Callithrix jacchus: one gene and its partners. The protein of the gene in region 3 purifies or fractionates together with the protein of the main gene of each other region. This does not show direct contact. Links are inferred from orthologs where the notes say so. Each region holds a gene or a part of one and is shown on either strand. Other genes may lie near its edges.

Region 1 (4,877 bases), on a different chromosome or scaffold from region 3:
TTTATTAGTTTCTAGCCAGCTTTCCTACCACCAGGCTCCCATTGTGAGCAGTTCCCTAATCAAGAGCTGCCCCAGCCTTAAGGGCCACCCTGTGGAACAAGTGCACTTAATGGCCACAGTAGAAAGAACAAAAAAAAAAAAAAAGCCTCCCAGTCTGCAGTGACTGGCTGATCTGATGTCCTTTGCTAATAGAGGCAGCTTTATAACACATCTCCATCACTGACTAGTAATCCAAAAGGCTCCGAGGTTTTAACGAATGGGATTGGTCCAAAACCTGACCTCACTTTCATTTAATTTCATGCCAGCACCAATACACACCCAGCTGCGGAGACCTTGTCTAGCTAGTGAGCTGCTCAGACACAAAGGCGCTCTAATTACCATCCGCAAGCCAGGCTGACAGGGCTTTCAAGTGTTTTCATGTTTATGGAGATCAGAGAAATGTGTTCTGTACATCTTTTTCACCAATGGCAAGTATAAAATAAAACCAAACAAAAAACCCAACGCATTTATTCAAAGCAGGCATTTCAGTTAAGTTAAAATCCTATAATCAGGACAGCCACAACTCCAGACACTCCGGTGCGAAGTGTAGATATGTCAGTAGCCACATCTGGATGATGAACAAGCCATTGACTATAAAACTAGAACAACAGCACAGTCCCAGCGCCTTCAATGAGCGAACGGTATGTTCCAAGCACTTCACCATGGTTCGCAACGGCAAAGCCTGCAGCTTCTCCATTTGGAGGGTCACATTTTCTACTCGGTTTCCTGCACTTACAAAGGCCAGCTGGCATGACTGGGGGAGGGGCAGAGGGAGGAAATCAACTCCGTCTATCCAGGGAATTGCAGCTGTTACTGCAAATGGCCCCGGAGAGCCCATTATAAGCTGCTGTGCTAGGCTGTGTGTCCCTGGAGTGCCCATCACATGACGAATCCCTAGCCCCCAACCCAGGCCCCCAGGATCCCTGCGCCACCGAATGAGTAGGACAGCAGAGCCGAGGGGGAGAGGAGGAACCCAGGACTCCGTCTAGCGAGTTTCCGTGAAAGCCGGGGCCTCGGCCAGGGGCGGTGGTCGCCCAGGGAAGCACAGGCGCCCAGCACGTCCGCGCTTTCCCACACCCGCGGTGGCGGCGGCGCGCGTGTCCTCAGGAGACTCCAGCACTTGCAAAATACTGCGCTCTTCTCCGAACACGGGCAGAACCCGGCTACTCTGCCCCGCAACCCAGTGCGTGCCCAGGAAACAGTGACCTTGAACCCTCGGAGAGGCAGGCCGGCTGTGAAAATACACTTTAGAGAGGGCGTGGGGTTTACCCCGCGCCTCATTCTACCCTTCCACCACCATTCAGCACCCCCCGCCCCCACCTCCTGTCCGCACCTGTGTGGTACAGCCTTCCCTCCCACTCTGAGAAAGGCAGACAATTGCAAAGAGAGGGCGGGGGTTACTCCTATTCAATCCCCAAAGGGTCCCTTCATGGCACCGGCTATTTGATATTAAGCAGCACCTCCAAAGACACAAGATGTTTTTTTTTTTAAGTGTCGAAAATATTCAAGTCCGGCAGATTGGGGTGCACCCTGAAATTATCCACTCATGTTTTCCTCCCACAAAGTGGACCAGGAGCCAGCTCTGAAAAGGTGAAAGCAAGTAACTGGCATCTCATCCTCCGTGGTTCCAGCGCACCGCGATCCCGAGAAGCGTGGGCTGTGGCCACATGGTCGCCGGCTGGAGGGCACTGAGAGGCTGCACAGAACTGCAGGCTCCGCGGCCAGGTCGGGTCACGCCAAATAAGGAGTTCTACTGACTTTTAAGCTTGGGGTGCACTCTGTAAAATCTGCCTTAAATAGGGCCAAGTCCTGCATTCCAAATATTTTGGCCTTCGACCCCAGTGTCCCGTGAAACATTCGCGATTTTTCGGTCCCTCATCATTAGCTTTTTTTCTCTCGCTTCCAAAAGCCAGAGTTCTCCATCAGCCTGAGCAGAACTGCAGCCCTCAGGGGAACCCCTTGCCCTCCAGTATGAGGCTGGCGCTGTGACCACCCCAGGCGTGTTAGCTGCCAGGGACAAGAACGCCGTCGCCAGTTCTGGGCTGCGCCCTCCCGGACGCGCCTGGGTCACTGCAGGCCGCGCGAGGGCTGCGAGGCGAAGGGGGTTCATGCACCGGGGCCGACAGCGGTCCCAGGAGCGGGCGTTGAGGAAGCTTTGCACGTAACTGCAGCCGTCGAGAATGAAGCCTCCGCACGGCCTCCTTGATGAGGTTTCCAGAGAGCACTAGCTGCTGTAGGAGCCGGTGCGGGTCGTCGTCGCCTGTGCGGGTTTCGGGTTGGGACCCGCGTCGCTGCTGCAGGCGGCGGGAGGCGGCGGCGCCCCGGAGCCATCCTCGCCGGCACGGACCCGACAGCGGCTGTGGGACGCCCTGCTTGCCAGCCCCCGGAGGCCCATCAAGGTCGGCCTGAGGGGGCAGTGGGGACAGCGCGCTGGGGCCTGCCGCGAGCTCCGCCACGCAGTAGGGCGCAGCGCGGCCCCGCACGCGGCCGCGGTCCCCCAGGGTGCTGCGCAGGGCCCCAAGGGGCGCCGGGCCCACTGTCTCCATCGACACCGGCGGCAGCAGCAGCGGCACTGCCGGGGGCCGGGCCTTGTCCGCCCGCACCGCTGCAGCCAGGGGCCCCGGGGCTCGCAGCGGCGCCCCCGGGGGCGCGCACGGCGAGGCCGGGCTGTCCTGCGCCGGGTCCAGTTGCAGCGTCTCGCCGATCTGGGCCACCAGCCGGTCCACCTCGCCCGAGCCGCCCAGCGCCACCGACTGCTCCAGCAGGAGGAAGCTGTCCTCCTCCTCTTCCTCCCCCTCCGCCTCCTCGCCGGCTTCCTCTTCCTCCTCCCTCCGGCAGGGCATGGCCCCCTGTCCGGGCACCCGGAGCTGTGCGGGCGTCGCTGGAGGCTTAGCTGCCCGTGGGCGCGGTGGGCCGCGGCAGAGCGGGCGCGGGGCTGAGGCCGAAGCCCGGGCCGGGGCGGACACGGAAGCCGGAGCCCGCCAGGCACTCGAGCCGCGCGCCTGCCGCCGCGGGAGCCGGAATCCTGCCGGCTCGAGTTGATTTGTAAACAATGGGTGACGTCGTGCCGGGCCCTACCACCGCGCCGGGGCAGGGGTGCTGTGCCGCTGTGGGGCGGAGCTCCTGCGGAACTAGGGGTCTGGGTGAAGCAGGGCTGCCGTCTTCGCTCCTTCGCTAAGGGTGCTGTCTGGAGGGGCGCCCTGGGGACCTGATCCTGGCTCCCGCAGTAGGGCGCTGTTGGCATTTCCAGAAATGGACACCAGCGTGGACCCCGTTGGTTTCTTCCACACACAAGCACATACACTAACACACACACACCCACCCACACACCCCTTCTCTCCTTGCGTCAACTTAACCGGTTTTTAGCGTTTGCGCTTTTGAGGTCCAGCAGGCGGGCATCTGGAGAGGATGGAAAGGAAGAGGAGTTAGGCTAGAGATTTGTACGGAGATTATAGAGAAACGAAGCTGACAGGAATGGAAAGGAAGAAGGGGACCTTGTCGTGCAATGGGGGTGGCAGAGTTGGAAATGGCAAAGAAAGGCCACAGATGACTGTTTCTTGATAGAGATCCTGGGCGATGGGGGCCTGGACTGGGGTTGGCGTTGCTGGAGAGGAGAAAAGGAAGTTGCCAGTCTTTTTTTTTTTTTTTTGGAGGAGCCTCGCTCTGTTAACCAGGCTGGAGTGCAGTGGCACGATCGCCAGTCACTATAACCTCTACCTCCTGTGTTCAAGCAATTCTCCTGCTTCAGCCTCCCGCGTAGCTGGGATTACAGGCGCCCACCACAAGCCGGACTAATTTTTGTATTTTTAGTAGAGACGGGGTTTCCCCATGTTGGCCAGGCTGGCTTTGAACTTCTGACCTCAGGTGATCCACCCACTTCAGCCTCCCAAAGTGCTGGGATTACGGGTGTGAGCCACCGCGCCCGGCCTAGGTTACTAGTCTTTTTTGTTTGTTTGTTGAATGAAGTTTCATTTTTTTTGCCCAGGCTGGAGTGCAATGACACGATCTTGGCTCACTGTAACCTCTGCCTCCTGGGTTCAAACTCTTCTCCAGTCTCCCAAGTAGCTGGGATTACAGGCACCTGCCACCATGCCCAGCTAATTTTTGTATTTTTAGTAGAGACAGGGTTTCACCATGTTGGCCAGCCTGTTCTCGAACTCCTGACCTCAGGTGATCCGCCGCCTTGGCCTCCCAAAATGCTGGGATTACAGGCATGAGCCACCAGGCCTGATCTATTTAAATGTTTAAAATTAAAATAATTAGTAGCAGTTTACAATTTGTGCTTTTTAAATCTCTGTTTCACAACCTGTAAGCCTCATACATTATTTATTTATTTATTTTTGAGACGGAGTTTCACTCTTGTTACCCAGGCTGGAGTGCAATGGCGCGATCTCGGCTCACCGCAACCTCCGCCTCCTGGGTTCAGGCAATTCTCCTGCCTCAGCCTCCCGATTAGCTGGGATTACAGGCACACGTCACCATGCCCAGCTAATTTTTTTGGTATTTTTAGTAGAGATGGGGTTTCACCATGTTGACCAGGATGGTCTCGATCTCTTGACCTTGTGATCCACCTGCCTCAGCCTCCCAAAGTGCTGGGATTATAGGCGTGAGCCATCGTGCCCGGCCCAAGCCTCATACATTATTGTGGGCATCAAAAATGGTACAACCACTTTGGAAAGTCTAGCAGTTTCTTATAAAATGAAACATATGCTTGTACTGGAAAACAGTTCCAATCCTGTATACTTAGCTAAGAGAAATAAACACATGGGCCCACATCAAGGCCTACAGGGAGGTGATATTAGCAGATTTTTTTTTAAATTGAGACAGGGTCTCCCTCA
Region 2 (5,047 bases), on a different chromosome or scaffold from region 3:
AAATAATACATATTTTCTACCATATTATGTAGAAATGAGAAACTGTAATACCTGGATTTTTTTTTCAACATTCAGTTTTTAAGGGTCTTTTACTAGAGTCTCATTTATAGTTTCTGGTTTTGAAGTAAAGGTTTACAGGGTGTATTGCTGCTCTGCCCCCACCTTTTTTCTGACACAGTCTCACTTTGTCACCCAGGCTGGAGTGCAGTGGCACAATTGCTCACTGTAGCCTTAACCTCCCAGGTTCAAGTGATCCTCCTACCTCAGCCCCCAAGTAGCTGGGACTACAGGCTTGTGCCCTATGCCCAGCTAATTTTTATATTCTTTTGTAGAGACAGAGTTTCACCATGTTGCCCAGGCGGGTCTCAAACTCCTGGACTCAAACAATTCACCCACCTTGGCCTCCTAAAGTGCTGGGATTACAGGCATGAGCCAGGGCACCCAGCCAGTGTTTCTGCTTATTTACAGTCTTTAAAACTCAAATTAACACTGTATTTCTTCATCCTGACTTCCCTCGTTAATCAACAAAAGCACTTTGCCCCACCAAGCCTCATGTTGAAATTTGATCCCCAGTGTTAGAGGTGAATCCTGGTGGGAGGTGTTTGGATCCTGGTGGTGGATGCCTCATGAATGGCCCAGTGCCCTTCTCCCGAGAGCCAGTGAGCTCTCACTCTTAGTTCACTGAGAATTTGTTGTTGAAAAGAACCTGGCACCTCCTCACTCACTTTTTCTCTCTCTCTCCCTCTCTCTCCCCACTCGCTCTCTGTCTCCCTCTCCCCCTCCCTTCCTCCCTTCCCTTTTTCCTTCCTTCACCATGTGATCTGCATATGCTGGCTCCCCTTCTGTCTTGAGTGGAAGCACCTAAGGCAGAAAATTGGTACTTAAGAGTGGGATGTTGATATAAAGAGACTCGGAAGCAGCTTTGGAACTGGGTAATGGGCAGAGGCTGAAAGAGCTTGGAGGACTCAAAAAACAAGAAGATAAAAGAATGTTTGGAATGTCTTAGAGATTGGTTAAGTGATTGTGCTGATAGAAATAGAGACAGTAAAGGCCATGCTGAGGAGAGCTAAGGTGGAAACGGGGTCTTACTGAGAACTTGAGCAAACATCACCGTTGTTACACTGTAGCAAAGAACTTGGCTGCATTGCCTCCATGCCCTAGGGCTTTGTGGAAGGCCAAACTTAAGTTATGACCTAGAGTATCTGGTATAAGAAATATCTAAGCAGCAGAGAGTTCAAGAAGTGGCACGGCTGCTTTGAATAGCTCACAATCAAATATGGGAGGAAAGAAATGACCTGAAGTTGGAATTTATAATTAAAAGTAAAGCAGAGCATAAAAATATGGAAATACTTGCAGCCTGGCCTTGTGTAAAGAAGGAAAGAGCATTTTCAGAAGAATCCAGTTAGTTCAGATAAAAGGGAGCCAGGTGCTAATAGCCAAGACAATGGGGAAAAGTCCCTCAAGACATTTCCGAAATCTCCTAAGCTGTCCCTCTCATCACAAGTCCAGAAGCCTAGAAGACCAAGAATGGTTTCCATGGTCAAAGCCTTGGGTGCAACTGTTGTGTGCCACCTTGGAACGTGCTCCCTGCATCCTGGTTGCTCCAGCTCCAGCTCTGTTTCAGAGGGCTCCAGGTACTGCTCAGGCTGCAAGCTGTCGCCTTTGCAGATTCTGTGTGTTGCAGGACACAGAATACAAGAGTGGCAGAGGCTTGGCAGCTCCCACCTAGATTTTAGAGGGTGTATCAGAAGGCCTGGGTGTCACAGAAATATTCTGCTAGGACAGTGCCAAGCAGAAATGTGGTGTTGGAGCTCTGATGGAAAGTCTCCACTGGAGTGTTAACTAGTAGAGCTATGGGAACAAGGTTGCCATGGGGACCACAGAATTGCAGAGCCACTGGCAGTATGCACTTTCATCCTGGAAAAGCCACAGGCATTTGACTCCAACTCATGAGAGCAGCCGCATGAGCTGCACCCAGGAAAGCCATGGGGCTGGGACTGCCCAAAGCCTTGGGAGCCCACCCCTCACACCACTGTGCCCAGGATGCAGGACATGCTCAAAGCAGGTTTGGGAACTTTAAGCTTAATGTCTGCCCTGATGGGTTTCTGAGTCTCATGGGGCCTCTCACCCTTCTCTTGGCCAATTTCTTCCTTTGGAAAACAGCATGTATCCAATGACTGTTCCATCATTGTATCTTGGAAGTAAATAACTTTGTTTTTTATTTTATAGGCTTATAGCTTTAAGGAACTTGCCTTGAGTCTCAGATGAGACTTTGGACTTTTAAGTTGGTGCTGGAACAAAACAAGACTTGGGGACTATTGGGATGGAATAATTGTATTTTGAATGTGAGAAGGACATCAGATTTGAGAAGCGAGGAGTGGAAGGCTGTGGTTTGGATGGGGTTTGTTTGGCCCCACCAAGTCTCTTGTCAAAATTTGATCTGCATTGTTGGAGATGGGGCCTGGTGAGAGGTGTTTGGATCAGGGGGTGGGAGCAGGGCTGGGAGGGGCCAGTTGGAGGGGCCAGTTTGAGGGGCGAGAGGTAGGGATCTCATGAATGGCTCAATGTCTTTCTCCCAAGAATGAGTGAGTTTTCACTCAGTTTCTGACAGAACTGGTTGTTGAAAAGAGCCTGGCTCTCCTCCTCTATATCTATCTGTCTATCTATCTATCTATCTATCTATCTATCTATCTATCTATCCTCTCTATCTACCTACCTAGCTAGTACCTGGCTCTCCTCCTCTCTATGTATCTATCTATTTTATCTACCTACCTACCTACCTGTCTGTCTGTCTTCCCCACACCCACCCTCCCTCACACACTGGCTCCTCTCCCACCATGAGTGGAGGCAGCTGGAGGCCATTGCAGATTCTCACACTGCTTCATGTACAGCTTGTAGAACCATGAGCCAAATAAACCTCTTTTCTTTATAAATGACTCAGCCTGGGGTACTTCTTTACAGCAATACAAACAGACTAAGATAAGCACAATACAATTATGTTGTCTAGATTTATAATTACTAAATATATATATCTCTGTCCTTGCTGAAAATGAGGTGCAGAGTAATTTTATAAACCGTTGTATACATGGGAAAATAGCCATTCTTACTGAATTACAAACACTTTATATTTGTGATACTATACATGATTGTGAATTAAATTTTCTATTTCAAAATAAATATGTCTCTAAGCTATTGAAAACAGATTAATGTTATGTATTACAGAAAACAAAGGTTAAATTGGGTTTTAACTTTGCCTAAATTTTTAATGTTGCTGATAATAAACTTTATTCATTTTTCCTTTCAAAACAGTTGTTGGAAATGCAGATAAATTCAGAACTGTTGTTTTATCTGTAACTGATGCTACCAGTTATTTTAAGTGTCTGAATAATAACCTGGTTTCTCTAGGATTTCTGCTTCCTACACTTTATACTCTCCAAAATACTGCAATTTTTAAATTGTTTTTTCTTGTTGAAAACATAATACATTTCCTTTTCTCCAGGAAAATTCAAATACTAAAAAATTAAAACTATCAATTTTTTTTTTTTTTTTTTGAGACAGAGTCTTACTCTGTCACCCAGGCTGGAATGCAGGGGTGAGATCTCAGCTTACTGCAGCCTCTGCCTCCTGGGTTCAAGAGATTCTCTCGCCTCAGCCACCCTAGTAACTGGGATTACAGGCATGCGCTACCACACGCGGCTAATTTTTTGTATTTTTAGTGGAGATGGGGTTTCGCCATGTCGGCCAGACTGGTCTTGAACTCCTGACCTCAAGTGATCCACCAGCCTCAGCCTCCCAAAGTGTTGGGATTATAGACATGAGCCACCACGCCCAGCCAAAACTATCAATAATTATTTTTTAACAGAGAGCGATAGCATAACTGAAGCGGAAAGAGTTGCAAAAACTTAGAGAAAACCTAACCTTAGCCCTTACCTGGTACCCTTTTCCCAGCTCCTGCCTCTGCTTGTTAACTTCATACTGCAAGACACAGTGCCTGAAATTTTCACCTTGTTGGATTAATTCCTTTGGTTAGGCTATACTTCTCAAGCTGATTTTTCATGCAAATATTCCTCATTCAAACCTACCTTTTAGATTTAGAGGCAAAGGAAACTATAGACGTGTAGGGGTATAACCAAAAGAGGATGTGGCTTGAGACATCCAAATATTTGTGTACTTTGTATTTAAAACTCTAGGAAGTTTTGTAATATTTCCTGATACTGGTATAGTAACAGTGATGTATATTTTCCAAGAACATCTGCCATGTTTGTCCTGCATCTTTGTATACTCTTTGTCACAGAGCTGAGTATCATACTTAAGAAGCAGAGAGTTAGAATTTTTTCTGTGTTTTATTCATTTAGAAAATATTCAGTGACATTCTGCTTTATGCCAGACACTGTGCTGGAACACGCTCCCATTTTCATGGGTTTGCAGTAGTACAGACGCAAAAATTATTTGCCATGAGGCTTAAGTACAGCAGTACCAAAGTAGAGATACTATTCAGGGAGATATAGTGATGGACCATCTTGAGATCAGATACAGAATCCTGAAATAGGTTTGTCTGAGCTGAATTTTAGAGGATCATAAGTCTTCAAAGTATTTTGTTAAAATACATTTTTAAGTTAAAAACATATGGTGAGCCTGTGTCAAAAATGTATTTAATAATGAAGTTAACAGCAAGATGGTAAAAGCTGGTTCAGAGTAGTATAGGAGAGACCAAAGTCAGTGAAAGAGAAACCGATGAAATAGGCTTGCAAAGTTAGCTCAGAACTGATTATTGGGATTTCCACTTACATGGCCAAGATAGACTAACAAGGACCCTCTCACCTTAATTTCAAAAAAAAAAGAAGAAATGGACTAAATATATGAAACAATGGTTTCAGGACTTTTGAGCATCAGGTAATGGGCAGTAATCCCTGAGAAGCAACATACAAATATGGTGAGCCTGTTGCCCCACTGTATTGTCTAGAGAGTCTCCAGGCATGGCCTTGGAAAGAAAAACCCAAGTAAAGCCTGATGGCCTCCCTGAATTGAGGACATGGAGCTAGAAACC
Region 3 (4,244 bases):
TAGAAGTACTGGGAGGTTGGTGGCCCTACTCGCCTAGCCCTGATACTCCCGTCATTTCCCCTCAGATGTTTGGTCAGCTGGCTGTGTATTGGCGGAGCTCCTCCTGGGCCAGCCCATCTTCCCTGGGGACAGTGGGGTGGACCAGCTCGTGGAGATCATCAAGGTGAGGGGTGGGGCTGGGGTAGGCAGGGGGTGGGGCTGAGGGGTGGGGCCCTTGTCTCAGACCCCTCCCTCTTTTTACAGGTGCTGGGAACACCAACCCGGGAACAAATCCGAGAGATGAACCCCAACTACACGGAGTTCAAGTTCCCTCAGATTAAAGCTCACCCCTGGACAAAGGTGGGGCAGGGCTCGGGGCTTAGGGCAGCATGGCTGAGAGCCATTCCCCCTTGGAGGTCAAGTGTTCTGTGGACCTGGCTTAGGAGGATTTGAGAGTTATCCAGGGATCAGTAACTTCCATGCAATTTCAAAGTTTATGGCATCTTAAAAGTCGAGAACTCTCAAGTAAATTCAAGATTCTAATTATTATGGAGGGGAAAAAGCTCACAGCAGGGCTCATACAGTCCGGACCTGGGCTGGCTGCTCACCCGATACAAACTACTTTCCATAGTGGTTGGGCCTCAGTTTCTCCATTTGGAAGGTGGGGGAGTGGGAAGTAGCCAGTCATACTTGCCACAGGCACTGTGGCAGTGAGATAACAGGAGTATGCTAGTGACCAGGTCATTTCACCCTCATGACCCCTGCACCCATTCCCCAGGTGTTTAAATCTCGAACGCCGCCGGAGGCCATCGCGCTTTGCTCCAGCCTGCTGGAGTACACCCCGTCCTCAAGGCTCTCCCCACTAGAGGCCTGCGCCCACAGCTTCTTTGATGAACTACGATGTCTGGGAACCCAGCTCCCTAACAACCGCCCACTTCCCCCTCTCTTCAACTTCAGTGCTGGTGGTGAGGGCATAGCCTGGGATCTGGGGAGCAGGGCGGGGGCAGTCAAAGATTGTTAAGAGCTTGGTGTTGAAGCAGGAATGGGGACCTAAGGGTAGGGTACAAGGTGGGGGAGGGGCTCAGGAAAGATGACCCCTGGATTCAGGGGTAATCGAACCTGTTTCAGTTATGCTCTACTATGATTTGCTTCGTGCTAGGCCTTTTCTGGTTTTTCACTGAGAGAGGCCTGTGGCTGAAAGTGTCCACAAACAACTGGCCTTGCCAATAGCTGGGTTCCCATTTGGTGCCCATCATAACCCTGCTGTAGGCTACCCTGACTGGCATGTCAATTGCTGTTTCTAGAACTCTCCATCCAACCATCTCTCAACGCCATTCTCATCCCTCCTCACTTGAGGTCCCCAGCGGGCACTACCACCCTCACCCAGTCCTCACAAGGTAAGTGGGGGCCATCTGCTGGGGGTTAAAGCATTTCTCCATCTGGGAAGTGTGAAGCTGTTCTCTCAGTCCTGGGTTTCCTGAATGTATTTTTAAATCGTTGAAATCTTGATGGCATACAAAGCACATCTTAAACATGTGAATGACCATCTTTAAAGGGCATTCTTGTGCACATTTGTGTTTAAATGCCAGTGGGAAAGCCAGAGAAATAATGTTTGGCCTGAACAAACAGAACGTTGAATTTGTTGCCCAGGTGTTCTTTTTTTTTTTGGAGACAGAGTTTCCCTCTTGTTGCCCAGGCTGGATTGCAGTGGCTTGATCTCAGCTAACTGCAATCTCTGCCTCCTGGGCTCAGGTGATTTTCCTGCCTCAGCTTCTAAGTAGCTGGAATTACAGGTGCACGCCAACACGCCTGGCTGATTTTTGTATCTTTAGTAGAGATGAGGTTTCACCATGTTGGCCAGACTGGTCTTGAACTCCTGACCTTAGGTGATCTCCCACCTTAGCCTCCCAAAGTGCTGGGATTACAGGTGTGAGCCACTACTCCTGGCTATGTTGCCCAGGTTTAAAAATAGGGGCCATTTTATGTAAAAATTCAGATTTCCTGTTTCTCTCGGGGAAGAAAAAAATCAGATTGAGTAGCAGTGGGCCCACCCATCCTTCTGACAGTAGACAGTGGGGGCTGGATTCCAGCTGCTCCCCACCCCCTTTTGAGATGGGTCCAGCCTCAGCTGGAGCACGGTGGCACAGTCTTGGCTCACTGCAACTTCCTTCTCCTTGGCTCAAGTGATTCTCCTGCCTTAGCATCCTGAGGAGATGGTATTACAGGTGCACACCACCCTGCCCAGCTAATTTTTGTATTTTTAATAAGAGATGGGGTTGCACCATGTTGGCCAGGCTGGTTTGGAACTCTTGACCTCAAGTGATCTGCCCACCTCGGACTCCCAAAATGCTGGGATTACAGGTGTGAGCCACCGTTCCCGACCCAGCTGCCCCCTTATATGGAGCCTGGCACTCTGGTGTATGACTCAGTTACCATCCTGGCCCTTTGGCACTCAAGTTTGCAACCCTTGACCTAAAGTGACAGCTTTAAACTTTTAATGCAGCATCTATAACAAGAGAATTCCTATTCTTCGATTGGGGGAAGGGGTGTCTGAAAGGCAAAGGCTAATTCTCTGCTCCTTCCCTCCCTCCCTCCCTCCCTCCCTCCAGCTTTAACTGAGACTACAACCAGCTCAGACTGGCAGTCAACCGATGCCACACCTACCCTCACTAACTCGTCCTGAGAGCCCCACCAACCACCCTTCCACTTCCATCTGGGAGCCCCAAGAGGGGCTGGGAAGGGGGGCCATAGCCCATCAAGCTCCTGCCCTGGCTGGGCCCCTAGACTAGAGGGCAGAGGTAAATGAGTCCCTGTCCCCACCTCCAGTCCCTCCCTCACCAGCCTCACTCCTGTGGTGGGCTTTTTAAGAGGATTTTAACTGGTTGTGGGGAGGGAAAGAAGGACAGGGTGTTGGGGGGATGAGGACCTCCTACCCCCTTGACCCCTCCCCTCCCCCAGGTCTCCACCTCCTCCAAACCCCCTCCCCTCCTGTTTCCCTTGTAAATAGAACCAGCCCAGCCCCTGTCTCCTCTTCCCTTCCCTGGCCCCTGGGTGTAAATAGATTGTTATAATTTTTTTCTTAAAGAAAACGTCGATTCGCACCGTCCAACCTGGCCCCGCCCCCTCCTACAGCTGTAACTCCCCTCCTGTCCTCTGCCCCCAAGGTCTTCTCCCTCCTCACCCCACCCTGGAGGGCCAGAGGAGTGGAGAGAGCTCCTGATGTCTTAGTTTCCACAGTAAGGTTTGCCTGTGTACAGACCTCCGTTCAATAAATTATTGGCATGAAAACTTGCTTTCTGTCTGGCTGCCTATTTCCACTGAGGTGGTGGGGGCTCCCAGGTGGACTGTTCCAGGACAGGCGTGAGCTGCGTCTCAGGTAGGGCTGTCCAAAGGCCTCACACGGTGGCTTTCTCAGCATGTGTGGTGATGAGCTTCGTCTGGCTTATCTGCTCTAGAGGCCTGGGAGGAGCCTGCCCCATGACCCAGCATAAATTATCTGCTTCTGCTTAGGGAGGGTGGGATTAACCTCCCAGAAATGGTGAGTGAATCGGGGATCAGAGAAGCGAAGGCCATGGAGCTTAAGAGACAGTCAGGACTTGAACAATAGACTGTCTTAGCCCAAGCTGCCTGCTACTCTAGGGTCTAGGGGGACATGAGGTGATGAGGAGTTACTCAGGCCAAAACTTAGCCTGCTTGTAGACTCTTTTGTTGGGTGGCCATGGCTGGAGGCAGAACCCTAGAAGATTCCAAGCCTTCATTTCCAAGTCTTAAACAGGGCACCTACCTGGTCCACCTCTTAAGGATGTTGGGAAGTGACAACTCTGGAAAGGTTGGGGCAGAGAGCTTGACTTTTACCCACACTTAACACATGCTGGGGCCAGATGGTGAGGCATGGGTGGAAGGAAATGTTATCTTCTCTACATGGCACCAGCAGTGAGTGTGGCCAGGATGCCCCAGAGGTGGAAGGGGGCCTGGGGAGGAACACTGGGTATGCCCCCTACTGGATTCCATTGGTGAACAAAAAAGGAGTTTCAAATGTTCCAGATGGAGTGAAGCGACTATTTGGGTGGAGTGTGGGCTCTCCAGTCTGCTTGCCCCACTCGAGGGGCATCTTTACACTACCTGGGATAGGACAGACCCTGTCCCTTCCTTGCTCAACACTACCTGGATTTTACCTGGTTTGTAGAATGAATGAATATACAGAATAAGCAGACTGACAAGGGGGAGGATGGCTGTTCTGGGCGAGGGGCAGACCTTGGGATCCT
Region 4 (4,916 bases), on a different chromosome or scaffold from region 3:
TTCGCCCGTCTTGGCTTCCCAAAGTGTTGGGATTACAGGGGTGAGCCACCATACCCAGCCTATTTTATAAAATATTTTTATGGGAAAATTTAAACCTATACAAAAGTAGAGAGAATAATATAATGAATCCCTATGGACCCATAAGCTAGCTTCTTCCATAATTACCAACTCAGGACCAATTTGCTATAACAGCAATACTCTTTTTTCCTTACTAGATTATTTTGCCAGACATCCATCCTTTTATCCATCAATAATTGAGTATGTACCTCTAAAAGATAAGAATTTTTTAAAAAAGTCTAGATACCATTAGCATATCTAAGAAATTCACAATTCTTTTTTTTTGAGACTGAGTTTCACTCTTGTTGCCCAGACTCCACTACAATGGCATGAACTTGGCTCACCGTAACCTCTGCCCCCCGGGTTCCAGCGAGTCTCCTGTCTCAGCCTCCCAAGTTGCTGGGATTACCGGCATGTGCCATCACGCCCAGCTAAGTGTATTTTTTTAAAAATAAAGATGGGGTTTCTCCATGTTGGTCAGGCTGGTCTCGAACTCTCGACTCAGGTAATCCGCAGAACAGTGGCTCATGCCTTTAATCCCAGCATTTGGGAGACAGAGGCAGGCAGATTGCTTGAGTCAAGGAGTTCGAGACCAGCCTAGCCAACGTGGTGAAACCCTGTCTCTACTAAAAAAGCAAAAATTAGGTGGGTGTGGTTGCACAGGTCTGTAATCCCAGCTACTCAGGAGGCTAAAGCATGAGAATTGTTTGAACCTTGGAGGCAAGGTTGCAGTGACCCAAGATCATGCCACTGCACTCCCACCTGGGTGACAGAGCAAGACTCTGTCTCAAAAATAAAAATAAAAATGAAAAGAAAAAATTGGCTAGGTGTAGTGGCTCCTGCCTGTAATCCTAGCACTTTGGGAGGCTGAGGCAGGAGGATCATGAGCCTAGGAGTTCAAGACCAGCCTGGGAAACAAAGCCAGACCCCATTTCCTTAAAAAATTAAGTTAAATTTAAAAAAGGTTTTAAATAATAAACCAATCTGTAAAACCATAAACCTGTACTGTTTTCCACAATGTAATGCATTGCCCTGTAAAACACTACAATTAAGACTATCATTTTAAGGACTCTGAACTCTGTGAAGATCAGGCACTTTTGTGAAACCCTAAGACGATTATCCTTCAATTTTCTTCATTCTTTGTTTCTACCTAGACTCAAGTTCACCACCAAAACAATACTACCGTGTTAACAACCATCCTGCTGACATCTAGTATTCATTCATGTGAAATGTAATTCTTGGGGTCCTTAAGATTTGGGCAGAATTTTTTTCAATTCCCCAGGACTTTAGGCAAAAAGTCAGGGAAATGAAGTGACTGACTCAGTCTGCCAAAAGTGGATATTCTGAAATATCACTTTCTAACTTCAAGAAACACACTTAAGGAAATGAATCTTCCTCTGTTTCTCAAATTACACAATTGGAAATTAATTTAGATACTCTGGAGCTCCTCCAGCTGGTCGGCCAACTAAGAGAAAACAGGAAGTGGGAGATTCTAGCTTAGCTGGACCATATCCAGGTCTTCATAAGAAACTATCTTTGGCTGACATGTAAAAAGATTCTTTCCACAAGAACATTAATCTTGAACTTCTGTAAATACCAAAGCTATGGTTAACCCCATCTGCCCCTTAGGTCTAAAGCCAGTAAGACAGATAGCTGGGTCCCAGGGCTTTCGTAACTGGCATTATTTTAAGTCCATGCCACTGACTCACCTTTGCTTGACACAAGTTAGCTTTTCCTCTACGTCGATTTTTTTCTTCTTCCAGCCTCAACAAAATCCCTTTAATGAAACAGACCTGGAAACCTGAGCTTTGATTACTGTCTCCACCAGAGGCCTGTACAAGCCAAGTTATCGAAGCTTTAAAATGTGTGACCTGAGGTCAGGAGCGGTTCAAGACCAGCCTGGGCAACACTGCGAGACTCTGTCTCAGAAAAATAAAAAATAAAAAAAGTGTGTCCTGAAAGCTGGGTGTTTGATAAAAAGGAAAAATAGTGCCTTTCCAAAACCGAAGGTCCCTAACCAAAGGGATCGCTTTAAGAGGGTCCCGAAAAAAGAAGGATGGGATGAGAATATGTGGGTAGTGTCATATTTTTACTTGCAGACTTCATCCTAGTCTTCCAGTTATCGTTTCCCAGCACTCCATGTTCCCAAGACGGTGTCACCACCCCGAGGACTCCCTCTCAATTTCTTTGCCTAGGCCCTCTTTCTGCGGGGGAGTCGTGGCCTTCCACCAGTTGAAGCCGGATGTTCTGAACCACAGACCCTCCACCTCTCCAGCGCTTTTCGCCCACTCGGTCCCTCTGAACAAGAAGGGCTCTCTCATCCAATCACTAAAAAGATTAGGTGTCCCGAGACACGGAAAAAGTGCCCCGTCTTCTTTGCAGGATTCCTCTCTTGAACTTCCCCAAACCCTCTTAGTGTGACGTGACCCCACTCCTAGGTAACCGCAGCTGCTTCCTTACCAGCTTCCCGCCCCCGGGGGGCGCCTGCCAGAGGCCAATGCAAGGACCGTCCGCAGCCAGCTCTGCCGCTATCCCTGTGGCGGTGAATCTAACATGGCGGATAAAGACAGTAACTAGTCCCCTGGTTCTCTGAGTTTCCGACAAGATGATTGGATCTTGCCATTTGTCCCTCAAAACAACCACCCCATTGATTGGTGGAGATTGTATCGACGGGGGCGGGGCAGAAGCAACCTGTAACTGAACAACAATAACAAACATTGGGGTCGAGGGGCGGAACTACGAGTGCGCAGACGTGGGTCAGAGCGGATTTCCCCTTCCCCAGGCAAATACGGTAGCCCCTGCGATCCCACAGGCAACTAACCTTAGAGGACTAGTGGGGCTGGATGGGAATTGTAGTCTTCCTAGGAGTTATACGTATCTTTTTTTTTGGCCTAGTCTCCGCTCTCAAGATACAAAACATAACAACACTCCAATCCATAACTGTTGACATGTATAAGGGCTCGGAGGTCTCCAATTTATCCACTGGATTTCCGTGAGAATTGTGCCCGCTTCGGTATTGGATGGTCAGCTCCATAAGACTACAGTTTTCAAGAAACACGGTGGCGAAGGCCTTTCATTCCGCAATGCATGGTGGAAATTGTAGTTCTCTTCCATCGCCGTCCCCCACCCCCCGCCACCACAATCCTTTTATTTACCTAAACAGGAGACCTCCATTGGAGCGGAAAGAGTGGGGGAACGGAAGCTCTTACGACAGCTTTGAACGCTATCTCGCGCTCACATTCAGGTCTTTGGTAGCGATTCTGGCCTTCGTACAGCAATTACTGTGACGTAATAAGCCGCAAGCGTTAGCGTAGCGGAGAGAGGGCGGGCGCTTTCTGGCAAACCCAGGTAAGAGTGCCTCCTTTTCCGTCTCTTTCTTTCTACGCCATTCGGCGGAAGACTGGGTGGCCAATCCAGAGCCCCGAGAGACGCTTGGCTCTTTCTGTCTCGCCCTTCCTGTAATGCGTCTTGAATTCTAGGAGGCTGTTGTTCAGTGGCAGCCCGCTGGTTTCCGTGGCAACGGAAAAGCGCGGGAATTACAGATAAATTTAAACTGCGACTGCGCGGCGTGAGCTCGCTGAGACTCTGAATGGTGGACGGGGCGTGAGGTTTCTCAGATAACTGGGCCCCTGGTCCCAAGAGGTCCTGACGCCTGTACGCTCTGCTCTGGGTAAAGGTAATAGAACCCCGGGAAAGGGACAGGGTCCCAAGCGATGCTCCGGGGGACTGGCGGGCGAGAGTGAATTTCCAAAGCAGAACAGATAGGTATTCTTTAGGCTGGGGGTGGGAGGACGGTGGAACCTAAGAGGCGTAAGGCGTTGTGAACCCTGGGGCGGGGGGCAGTTTGTAGATCGCGAGGGAAGCACCGAGGATAAGGAAGAGGGCATGGTGTGTCTGAGGGGGAATCCTAGTTATAGGAACTGGAATGTGCCTCGAGGGGAACAACGTCTGTTGTACTGGCCTGAGCATAGAAAGTCAACACCAAGACAAAAGTATGCCAAATTGCAGGGTCTTTATTGCCGGCGGCCACCGAGGACTCGCGTCTCTCCAACCCGTGGCCCCCAAAGGAGGGTGTCAAGACCTTTTATACCCGTAAAACCACCTCGGGAGTGAGGACAAAGGGCGGGGGTTGGGGGTGAGGGGCTTCAGACGTTCTGAGGGCTAGTGGATGCTGTGAATCATCCTGGGTGGAGATGAGCGTGAGGGGCTCTGGACATTCCAGTGGATTCCTAGGCGAAGATGAGGGTGAGGGGCTCCGGACACTCCGAGGGCCAGAGGACTTTTGACATTCTGATTGTTACTTAAGTAGTTCACAAAAGTCAAGATTAGCATTTGTTTACACATTGTCTGGGTAGGGTGGAAATTACAGACCTTAATTACTTATTACAAGTCGCAGGGGCCAAGATGGCATGGGTTTGGACTGCTTGCCTGTCACATTTGAGTCACAGAGAGCAGTTTCAATAGAAAGCCGAGGTGTGGGCCGGGTGCGGTGGCTCAAGCCTGTAATCCCAGCACTTTGGGAGGCCGAGGCGGGTGGATCACAAGGTCAACAGATCGAGACCATCCTGGTCAACGTGGTGAAACCCCGTCTCTACTAAAAATACAAAAGATTAGCTGGGCACGGTGGCGCGTGCCTGTGATCCCAGCTGCTCGGGGCTGAGGCAGGAGAATTGCCTGAACCCAGGAGGCGGAGGTTGCAGTGAGCCGAGATCACGCCATTGCACTCCAGCCTGGGTAACAAGAGCGAAACTCCGTCTCAAAAAAAGAAAAAAGAAAGCCGAGGTATGGTTGAGGTATGCAGTTTTATGGGGCTTTTACCATGTCACACGTGTCCATAAGAACACCGGCTGGTGGCCAGG
Region 5 (4,403 bases), on a different chromosome or scaffold from region 3:
CTCCCTTCCATCCCCAACCCCGAAAAGTGTGCAGGGAGCTCAGATTTCGCTTTTGAAAAGCAGCGTCTGATACTTTAGATGACCACCTCGCAGATAGCTGGGTTGCTTGATTTGAATTTGAGGGGTTGAAAAGCCTGTTTACTTTCTAGCTTTGATGTTGGGTAGATCTGGTTTTGATTAGATCAATACCCTTTTCTCTCTCCCCACCTCCCCGCTTCCTTTTCTTTCCAGAGAGGAGGCTCAGATGAGCCCCTGCTGACTTGAGAGAGACAGACAGACCACGCCGATTGCTGAGAGGAACTGGAAGAAGAAGAAAAAATTCCCAAACTCAGTGGGAAGAGCTCCCTCACCATGAGTAGTGCTGTGTTGGTGACTCGCCTCCCGGACCCCAGCAGCAGCTTCCGTGAGGATGCCCCGCGGCCCCCAGTGCCAGGGGAAGAAGGGGAGACCCCACCGTGTCAGCCAGGGGTGGGCAAGAGCCAGGTCACCAAACCCATGCCTGTCTCTTCCAACACCAGGCGGAACGAAGATGGGCTGGGGGAGCCAGAGGGGCGAGCATCCCCTGATTCCCCTCTGACTAGGTGGACCAAGTCCTTGCACTCCTTGTTGGGCGATCAAGACGGTGCTTACCTCTTCCGGACTTTCCTGGAGAGGGAGAAATGCGTGGATACCTTAGACTTCTGGTTTGCCTGCAATGGATTCAGGCAGATGAACCTGAAGGATACCAAAACTTTACGAGTAGCCAAAGCGATCTACAAAAGGTACATTGAAAACAACAGCATTGTCTCCAAGCAGCTGAAGCCTGCCACCAAGACCTACATAAGAGACGGTATCAAGAAGCAGCAGATTGATTCCATCATGTTTGACCAGGCGCAGACCGAGATCCAGTCGGTGATGGAGGAAAATGCCTACCAGATGTTTTTGACTTCTGATATATACCTCGAATATGTAAGGAGTGGGGGAGAAAACACAACTTACATGAGTAACGGGGGACTGGGGAGCCTCAAGGTCGTGTGTGGCTATCTCCCCACCTTGAACGAAGAAGAGGAGTGGACTTGTGCTGACTTCAAGTGCAAACTTTCGCCAACTGTGGTTGGTTTGTCCAGCAAAACTCTGAGGGCCACAGCAAGTGTGAGGTCCACGGAAACAGTTGACAGTGGATACAGGTAAGACCTGGACAGGGGCTGGTGGGGCGGGTGGGCAGTTGATGTGAACTTTGCAGATGTTTTGAGTTAAGTCCGATGGATGGATGGATGGGTGTGCTGCAGAGACTGACAGAGGGTTGTTGAGAGCTGGGACTGCTGGCCATGAACCCTTTTTGATCTTGCTTTTTGTTGTTTAAAGAGGGGAAGAGTGATGCACACATCTAAATACCTGCAGTCTTTCAGTGCTGACATCAAACAGTGGCAAGCAGTATACACTAATGTGGGTTACTTATTATCCCGGGCTAGTGTCTCAGAAGGGGTTGAGAAAGAGAGAGAGAGCGAGCGCTCGAGAGGGAGCAGCTTTTGATGCCTCTGAGTCACCAGATCCACTAAGCACCGGTTTTGGAAGGGGTCACTTCACCACTAATCAGTAGAGGGTGGAATTAATGTGGCTAGGAAGGCAACTGGGTTGTGGTGGAGGCGCAGGCGCGGGAAATAACGTGTGCACCCATTGAGGGGTAAGTGGGTTTTTTTTTTTTTTTTTTTTTTTTGAGCTTTTCTGTTAAGAGCCAGCGATTGGCTTAACTGAGCTTGTGGTTCCCTTTGTAGAATTAGATATTTACCCAGCAAGAAAGGCCTCTAACTAGGGAAGGTCCTGTGATTTTCCTAAATGAAGGACCCTTGGCTCTAGAGCCTGCTGGTATATTAATCCAGGTTTTAAATGCACATGAGTCGGAGGGGCAGACTTCAGTTGATTATTTTGTTAGTGCTGATGGAGAAGAGATCTTGGCCCGGGAGCACTGGGGCTCTGGAGTACGTTCTCTTTGAGGCTTCAAAGACAAATAGTTCTTTGCAGAATGGCCAAGTCTTAAGATTCTTGACCTTTGGAGGCAACTTCAGACCTCTTGTTAGAATGATTTTTTCTGTTTTCTTCCCTTCTCCCTATTTCCAAGTATCCAAAAGGAGAATGAGCCTCTTAATTCTGGGGTGTGGTTTATGACAGGACAGGGGATGGGACTTCACTTAACTGCTATCTGAAGGGTTTATCTTGCCGTCTGTGTGGATTTCTCTGTGTGTTAGGGGCCCAGGATGCGATCTAATAGCTGCCTCTGGATTTCCCTTTCTCTGTAGGGTGTGGTCTCTAGTTTCCAGCAGCAGGAAGAGAGGTGGGCACCAGATGGTTGATCTGGAGCCACTCAGGGTAGCCGGGTCTGAGCCTAGCAGGCCAGGATTTAGGGGCGAGTTGACTGCTGGTGAGGAGGGGAAGGGCTTATTCTTCAACCACCAGGGGGCGCACTTATGGCTTGGGAACCAGTTTTACTCAGCCATCTGGTCTACACTTAAGTGGAACGAGGTTGACTTTTGCAAGGAAGCACAGGGTACCAGGGAGTTGTTTCGGCATCTTTATGCTTATGGAGTCAGGTTATTTGGGAGGAAGATCCTGGGTCTGGCCTCTGCAGCAGGTCAGTCGCTGGGCACCTGCTATGGGTGCGCGCACTATTATGAGAACACTTGGGTGAACCTCTGGCACTGACCCCCTTGCCCTCTAGCCTGGCAGCCAGAGCCAAGACTGCTGAAGGGTCATGGTAAAGGCTGCTTCGCTGGGGGCCTCTTGATTGGGGCTTCTGTGTTTCCCATTGTGGGGACTGGAGTGTCACCTTAGTAGATAGCACAGTGTGTGGTTTTGGACACCCTCCCCAGGCAGGGCTCTGCTGTGAACCCTCCCCTTTGTGGGTGAGCAGTTGAGACCCATCCTGGGCTTGCCTCACTGGGATATGACCAGGATTCAGCTCCTGAAGCTTTTGAGATCCAGAAGCTCCTGTCTTCCAGGGCTGCCTTGTTGGCTGTGAACTCTTTATCATTGATAAAGAGGTGACAGCTTGTCATTGACCTGAGAGTTTCCATGCTAGATTCACGTGTGCCTTCTCCCACCTTAGGGATGAGATGAAGCATCTTATGGACTCATGTGTCTTAACTCATGTGTCTTAACTGGACATATTTAAAGAGAATTTTACGACAGAGCCAGATGATCTAGCTTCATTTTAACGTGCAAGACATTCGAGGGTGTACAGAGTATATTGAAAGGTCTGCTGAGTTATTCAAGGGTTTGCGTTCCAGCCTGGTCCACTTTGTGTTGAAGCCTTCTGAACCACATGTGCCTATCTGTAAAATGGGTGGGCCCCGTTGCTTCTGTCTGTATCAGAGGATTGTTGTTACTAGGACCAAAATAATAAACATGAAAGCCTTTTGTAAAGAGAAATGTTGTGAACAGCTGCTAAGTGTTATAATTAGTATAATTAATAATGTTAATGTAAAAAGGGCAACCACATTGGGATGTCACCTTTGAAAGGGCGACTCTTGGCTTAGCCTAGTTTTCATTGTAATGTTATAGAGTGGCCCCCTGTCCCCCATGCCTCAACTTCCTTTTTAAACTGCGGTCTTTTTCCAGATAGTTCTTAGAATGTAGGGATCCCATCTAAGGTTTTTAAATTCACTCCTTCCCTCCTGCACACATTAACTCATCCTGCAGAGTACCTGGTATCTGGGATGGGTTTAATAAGTTAGTAAAATGAATGAAACAGAAACGTGAGTCCTGCTGAGGAGGGTCTTTCTTCACCGGCTGCTTCCAGCCAGATGCCCAGGGCACTGGCCAGCCTTGCAAGCTCTGTGTTTACCGTGGGCACTCAAAGGAGCCTCGTTTTTAACAACTTGTTTGTGTCCTTACTGATTTGGTGTCAGGTTTAATATAAATAGTTGGGGCGGAAGAGCAGGAATTATCCTCAGAGGGCAGGACTCTGGGCTGAGTGGTTGAGGGGGATGCCTGGGCTTTTGACGCTCTCTATAAATAACCTAGAGCAAAAGCCACTTGTTGGTAGGACACATGTAAAAACCCTGGCACACAAACACACGCACAGTGTCGAGGTGTGTGTGTGAGGGGGTTGTGGGATTAGGCGCTGGGCCTCACATTTATTTTGGGGAGGGGAATATGGTACTGGGTGCACAGAGCCCTCCCTGTGTCCTCGTCTTTCTGCACGGGGCCCTTGTGTGTCCTGCCCAGGGTGGGGCTCATCTGCCTCCCCTCGGGCCCTCTGCTCTGGCTTCCCTTAAAAGAAGCCAGGCCCAGCAGATGGCCCTCTGCTGGCTCCCAGCGCCGCTTCCCGTTCTCTGAAAGAACTCGCTGATGAGGCCCGTTTTTGTGCGGAGCCATTGGAATCAAGCTTGGCTTCAATTATCAAAGAAAATGATGCCATAGGAAAG
Region 6 (4,839 bases), on a different chromosome or scaffold from region 3:
CACTCCAGGCCCTGTCTACAAGCTGGTTTTCAAAGGAAGTTTGTGGTTTTTCTTTTCTTCTCTCTCTCTCTTTTTTTCTCATCGGGACGAAGAAAAATTAGTCAAGGACAAGCTCCCTGGAGGAGGAGGGGCCTGCCCAGCACTGGTGGATTTCCATCAGGGCTTTATGACCCGGTCAGCAGCTTGGTGATCAGCAGAGAGGGAGAGAGAAACAGGAGAGAAAAACAACAGACCCTTTCTCTTCCCTCCGCCAGCCTCTGGAAGGGACGGAGCGCTTGTGCCTCTCTGGTGAGAATAGGGAAGAGCAAGTGCCCTTGCTGAGTGGGGAGGAGCCGGGCTGGACAGAAGCAGCTTGTTGGATCTGAGGTTTCTCTCTGGGTATGGCAGTCCTTTGCTCCAGATCCACAGAAACAGGACAAAAGAGCACGATATTTGCATATATTACTCAATGTTAATGAGTTATGTTAAATTAAAGAAAAAACAACCCAGCTCTTTTCCCTCTGGAGCCCTCCAGAGGGCTCCTTTTCAAGTCCTTGCCGTATCTTTTTTTAAGTCTAGAAAAAACTGGTTGGGTTGTGCACCTGGTAGAGCGCAGAGGGTGTGGAAGAAGCCCCAGGCTATGGGAAGAGCGCACAGCAGGGAAAGAACTCGTAGAACAGGCAGGAGATCCAACACCCCTGTGCCCTGGATCTTGGTTCCACCGCAGGCCTCAGCTTTTCATCAGTCACCTCCCCTCAATTTACAGCTGGGGAAGCAGGAAAAGCTGGTGTGAGGTTGATGGTAGGAAATATAGGGACAGATAAATAAACGAGGGAATATTTGACCTTGAGCTTCCATTTATTTGCAGTACCTGCACTACCCTGCGGCTGGAAAGTGGCGGTTAAGGGAGGTTGGAACCTAACTCTGCATTCTGAAGGGTTCCCTAGACTCTATGGACAGGACTGCCACAGGATGAAACTTCAAGCCACTCTGAAGGCTGAAAGAGCAGTTGGAACAATTAGGGAGGCAGAGAGCAAAAAGCCAAGGTTACAACCGTCCAAGAAAGGAAGGAGAAGATATTTAACGAGGCAGTAGGAAAAAAAAAAAACAGGCTACAGAGTAGCAAAGGAAGAAGCAGCAAGAGTTGGCAGGACACTGCAGGTATTAAGCAAACAAGAGGGATCAAAGATTATTCTAATGTTCTGCAAACATGAACAACCACAAAACTGGTGGCGACTGAGTCAGTTCGGTTAAGGAGAGAATTTCCAGAAAGAAGATGAATATCTGTTTTGCCAAGTGTCACTTAAAATGTCAACCAGATGCTCGGTGAGATATATGGAAAGATGTTATACTTAGCCCGATCTGAGAGGGTAAGTTCAGACGCCACAACAATGGGTCGCTGTGACACATCCACATTTGTTTGTCAAACGACTGATCCCTCAGAAAACTCTCCTTCCCTCGCTTGCTAGGGCCATTGCGGAGCTGCGAGACAACCTTTCCCACGACGACCAGCGCCACGCCCCCTTGGCCTCTCCGGAAAGACGTCCCAGGAGCCTCTGGGCGTAGAGCCCCGCCTCCGCTGGGGGCGGGGCGACGCCGGGCTCGGGAGTGCCCGCTTACGCACTTCCTCCCGGGGTCGGAGGCCGATTCGCCGTGTGGCGGGTTCGAGTCCCGCCTCCTGACTCTGGTCTTTAGCCCCTGAGTCCCGGGCGGGGTGCATTCGCCGGGGAACCGCTCCTCGATCTGGGGCGACGGCGTACTTTGGGCTTCATCATGGAGGACTACCTGCAGGGTTGTCGAGCTGCTCTGCAGGTAACCGATCCCTGTCTGTGACTGTAAGGAATGGAGCACGGGGTCCAGGAAGGACGGAGACGTGGGATCTGGGGGAGCCTCGACGGTCCGTGTGGAGGGAACACTATGTTGTGGGGAGGGGGGTTGGGGCCCGATCAGATTTGGGGCATGAGGAGCGAGAAGCCAGCTTACGAGCGTGAGAATGCTGCTTGCTCAGTCTCCCGGTTTTTGGCGCCCCGCCTTGGGGGTCCGCCCGAGAGCGGGGAGAAGTCTTGGGTCTGAGTCCTGCATTTGAGCCTCTGCTTGCTGTCGTCTTGGTCAGTTCCGTCAAAAGGACCAGGACTGTGCCGCCGCCAGCCGAGCCCCGCGAGGTGTGTTTATTCTTTACTCCCCGCCCCTCTTTCAGTTCTCCGCTCCTAAGGCCTCGCTTGGCCCACTGGCCTCCAGGTGAACCTCGGGGGTGTGGAGGGAACCGATGCTCGTGGCTTTATTTCCTCTGAATGGCAGTTTCTGTCTGGCGGGCTGAACTCATTTCTAGGTTAGAAGTGGTCGTGGTATTTTACTTTAAGTCAGTGTTTTTAAGCCAAACATACAGAATCCATCAAGCATATTTCTTGACCCACAACCAGCATTCCTTTGCCTCCAGGTTTCTCCCTTGGCCTTAACACACAGAAATGACATAAAAATTCTCCACTTGGAAGGGATAAGCACAAAGAGTGTTTGCAATCAAAACCATAAATATGACTACTGACTGCTTTGTGGCTTATGCGTGGTGCTCTCTGAGCCAGCTGGACTCACCCAGCTGAGCCGTCATGAGGCATTAGGCTGTTATCCCAGTTAGCAGCAAAAAGCTAACCAGAGAGAGGATCCAGGAGGTCACCGGGCCCCTCTACTTTGAGTTATTCTGCCCTGAAGAAACCCAGACAGATGGCTGGCTGAGCTTTCCTTTTTAGATATCTTAAACTCTACAAATTCTCCTGGGGGACAGATTCTGTTTGTTTGTTTGTTTGTTTGTTTGTTTGAGACAAGAGTCTCAATCTGTCACTCAGGCTGGAGTGCAATGGCACAATCTTGGCTCACTGCAACCTCTGCTTCCCGAGTTCAAGTGATTCTCCTGCCTCAGCCTCTTGAGTAGTTGGAATTACAGGCATGTGCCACCCCGCCCGGCTAATTTTTGTATTTTTAGTAGAGACGGAATTTCACCATGTTGTCCAGACTGGTCTCAAACTCCTGACCTCATGATCCGCCTTCCGTGACCTCCCAAAGTGCTGGGATTACGGGCGTGAGCCATCGTGCCTGGCCCAGATTCTGGTCCTTAACAAATCCTGAAAGTCAGTTAATTCCTGCTACAGACATATCTACTGGAATAAAATGAATTGTCTTCATGTTGAATTGGGGAGATGGTCCATTTTAACACCAATTACACATTTTCCTTGGGAAAACAAATTTGGGGAAATTATTTCAATGCATGAGGCCATTTGGAAGCAGTCCCTTTTAGTTACCTCTGATTCCACCACAGGGCACTTATTGGAGGACTAATGTAGAGTTTTGTGGCACTGTTCTAAGTGCTAAGCACTTAGATTCCCCCCCCCCCCCCCCAGGTAACACAAATGACTGGTCTCTGTTCCACCATTTGGTAAAGAGCACTTGGACCTGAAACCTCACCAAATGCTATTTCTTTGCATGCATCTACTCTCCAGCACGTATCCTCCAGAGCCTCCCCCACCCCCAGGTTAATAGTATATTCTCTATTTTTATTCTGTATTTGTTTGTTTATTTATTTATTTTGAGCCAGGGTCTCACTCTGTTGCCCTGGCTGGAGTGCAGTAGTGTGATCACCCCCCAGGCTCAATTGATCCTCCCACCTCAGCCTCCCATTAAAGCTTCGACTATAGGCATGTGCCACCACGCAGGGCTAATTTTTTGTATTTTTGTAGAGACACGGCCTCGCCATGTTGCCCAGTCTGGTCTCGAACTCCTGGACTCAAGCAATCCCTCTGGTTTGGCTTCCCAGAGTGCTGGAATGATAGGTGTGAGCCACTGTGCCTGGCCCTAGTAGTATATTCTCTACAGCAATATGAAGCTGGAACAATACTTGATTTTTCCAATATTGCTGGCATCTTAACTTTTGTCTCCCTGCATTCTTCCCCCAAGGAGCAAGATCTAGATTTTCTTTTCAAACTTGTGAACTTGTAAAAGGTGAGATTGTGTCCGTAGAGCTTTCATCACCGCATAGCCCCCCCAGGGCCTGGAGAAATGAGAAAAGTAGACTCTAGGAAAGTTAGCAGATGAACTGATGGCAAGACATACTGGTAGATGCCAACAATTTAGATTGCTTTAAATTTTTTTTTTTTTTTTTTTGAGATGTAGTTTTGCTCTTGTTACCCAGGCTGGAGTGCAATGGTGCGATCTTGGCTCACCGCAATCTCTGCCTCCTGGGTTCAGGCAATTCTCCTGCCTCAGCCTCCTGAGTAGCTGGGATTACAAGTGTACACCACCATGCCTGGCTAACTTTTGTATTTTTAGTAGCGACAGGGTTTCACCATGTTGGCCTGGCTGGTCTGGAACTCCTGACCTCAAGTGATCCACCTGTCTTGGCCTCCCAAAGTGTTGGGGTTACAGGTGGAGCCACCATGCCCTGCCTAGATTGCTTTAAATTATAGAAGTAGTAAATGTGCACTTAATGAACAAATTTAAATACCAAAAGGATATGAAATGAAAAAGATAAAGATCCTCTTTCTTCTCACCTCTCCATCTGGTTCTCCAGAGGCCACCCTGTTAGGTTTCTTGTGTAAGAGAGATGATTTGGACAGATACACTCTTAAGTTTGAATGTTCCTCTTCAATTATAGTTTAATTATAACTTTCAGGAGATCAGGAATGCTCCTGTCTGCACAGGATAAAGACAGCTGGTAATCCAGCCAAGTCTCCCCTTACTACCCCATTTTTAGCATTTGACACCAGAGACATTTTCGGCAGCCTCTGCCACAGGGACAATAGGACATTCCATTAAAATTTTTTTTAAAATTTAACTAAATGTCCTATTTATGGTGACTCATCTTTCACTTCT

Evidence for each region.
Region 1: the proteins of GSK3A (region 3) and FRAT1 purify together in Homo sapiens (affinity purification with mass spectrometry; 4 studies listed by BioGRID and IntAct, with this or other methods). This does not show direct contact. The link is inferred for Callithrix jacchus from reciprocal best matches to the Homo sapiens genes GSK3A and FRAT1.
Region 2: the proteins of GSK3A (region 3) and GSKIP purify together in Homo sapiens (affinity purification with mass spectrometry; 7 studies listed by BioGRID and IntAct, with this or other methods). This does not show direct contact. The link is inferred for Callithrix jacchus from reciprocal best matches to the Homo sapiens genes GSK3A and GSKIP.
Region 4: the proteins of GSK3A (region 3) and NBR1 purify together in Homo sapiens (affinity purification with western blotting; 3 studies listed by BioGRID and IntAct, with this or other methods). This does not show direct contact. The link is inferred for Callithrix jacchus from reciprocal best matches to the Homo sapiens genes GSK3A and NBR1.
Region 5: the proteins of GSK3A (region 3) and AXIN2 purify together in Homo sapiens (affinity purification with mass spectrometry; 3 studies listed by BioGRID and IntAct, with this or other methods). This does not show direct contact. The link is inferred for Callithrix jacchus from reciprocal best matches to the Homo sapiens genes GSK3A and AXIN2.
Region 6: the proteins of GSK3A (region 3) and PRUNE1 purify together in Homo sapiens (affinity purification with mass spectrometry; 3 studies listed by BioGRID and IntAct, with this or other methods). This does not show direct contact. The link is inferred for Callithrix jacchus from reciprocal best matches to the Homo sapiens genes GSK3A and PRUNE1.

Annotation. Positions count from the first base shown.
Region 1 is NC_133513.1:90,145,930-90,150,806, reverse strand, and holds FRAT1 (proto-oncogene FRAT1), read right to left. Parts: upstream 3,059-4,877; 5' UTR 2,883-3,058; coding exon 2,043-2,882; 3' UTR 491-2,042; downstream 1-490. UniProt on the Homo sapiens protein: Positively regulates the Wnt signaling pathway by stabilizing beta-catenin through the association with GSK-3. May play a role in tumor progression and collaborate with PIM1 and MYC in lymphomagenesis.
Region 2 is NC_133509.1:131,198,457-131,203,503, forward strand, and holds the start of GSKIP (GSK3B-interacting protein), read left to right. Parts: upstream 1-1,895; 5' UTR 1,896-1,985; coding exon 1,986-2,065; intron 2,066-5,047. UniProt on the Homo sapiens protein: A-kinase anchoring protein for GSK3B and PKA that regulates or facilitates their kinase activity towards their targets.
Region 3 is NC_133523.1:37,258,650-37,262,893, reverse strand, and holds the end of GSK3A (glycogen synthase kinase-3 alpha), read left to right. Parts: intron 1-65; coding exon 66-163; intron 164-243; coding exon 244-339; intron 340-757; coding exon 758-944; intron 945-1,283; coding exon 1,284-1,376; intron 1,377-2,588; coding exon 2,589-2,662; 3' UTR 2,663-3,267; downstream 3,268-4,244. UniProt on the Homo sapiens protein: Constitutively active protein kinase that acts as a negative regulator in the hormonal control of glucose homeostasis, Wnt signaling and regulation of transcription factors and microtubules, by phosphorylating and inactivating glycogen synthase (GYS1 or GYS2), CTNNB1/beta-catenin, APC and AXIN1.
Region 4 is NC_133506.1:120,771,092-120,776,007, forward strand, and holds the start of NBR1 (next to BRCA1 gene 1 protein), read right to left. Parts: upstream 3,343-4,916; 5' UTR 3,213-3,342; exon of another isoform or gene 2,879-3,212; intron 2,629-2,878; exon of another isoform or gene 1,863-2,628; coding exon of another isoform or gene 1,821-1,862; exon of another isoform or gene 1,767-1,820; intron 1-1,766. Other genes in the region: uncharacterized protein LOC144582689, read left to right, coding at 1,821-1,862. UniProt on the Homo sapiens protein: Ubiquitin-binding autophagy adapter that participates in different processes including host defense or intracellular homeostasis.
Region 5 is NC_133506.1:123,779,885-123,784,287, forward strand, and holds part of AXIN2 (axin-2), read left to right. Parts: intron 1-231; 5' UTR 232-351; coding exon 352-1,166; intron 1,167-4,403. UniProt on the Homo sapiens protein: Inhibitor of the Wnt signaling pathway. Down-regulates beta-catenin. Probably facilitate the phosphorylation of beta-catenin and APC by GSK3B.
Region 6 is NC_133519.1:10,905,687-10,910,525, forward strand, and holds the start of PRUNE1 (exopolyphosphatase PRUNE1), read left to right. Parts: upstream 1-1,611; 5' UTR 1,612-1,752; coding exon 1,753-1,791; exon of another isoform or gene 1,792-2,141; intron 2,142-4,839. UniProt on the Homo sapiens protein: Phosphodiesterase (PDE) that has higher activity toward cAMP than cGMP, as substrate. Plays a role in cell proliferation, migration and differentiation, and acts as a negative regulator of NME1. Plays a role in the regulation of neurogenesis.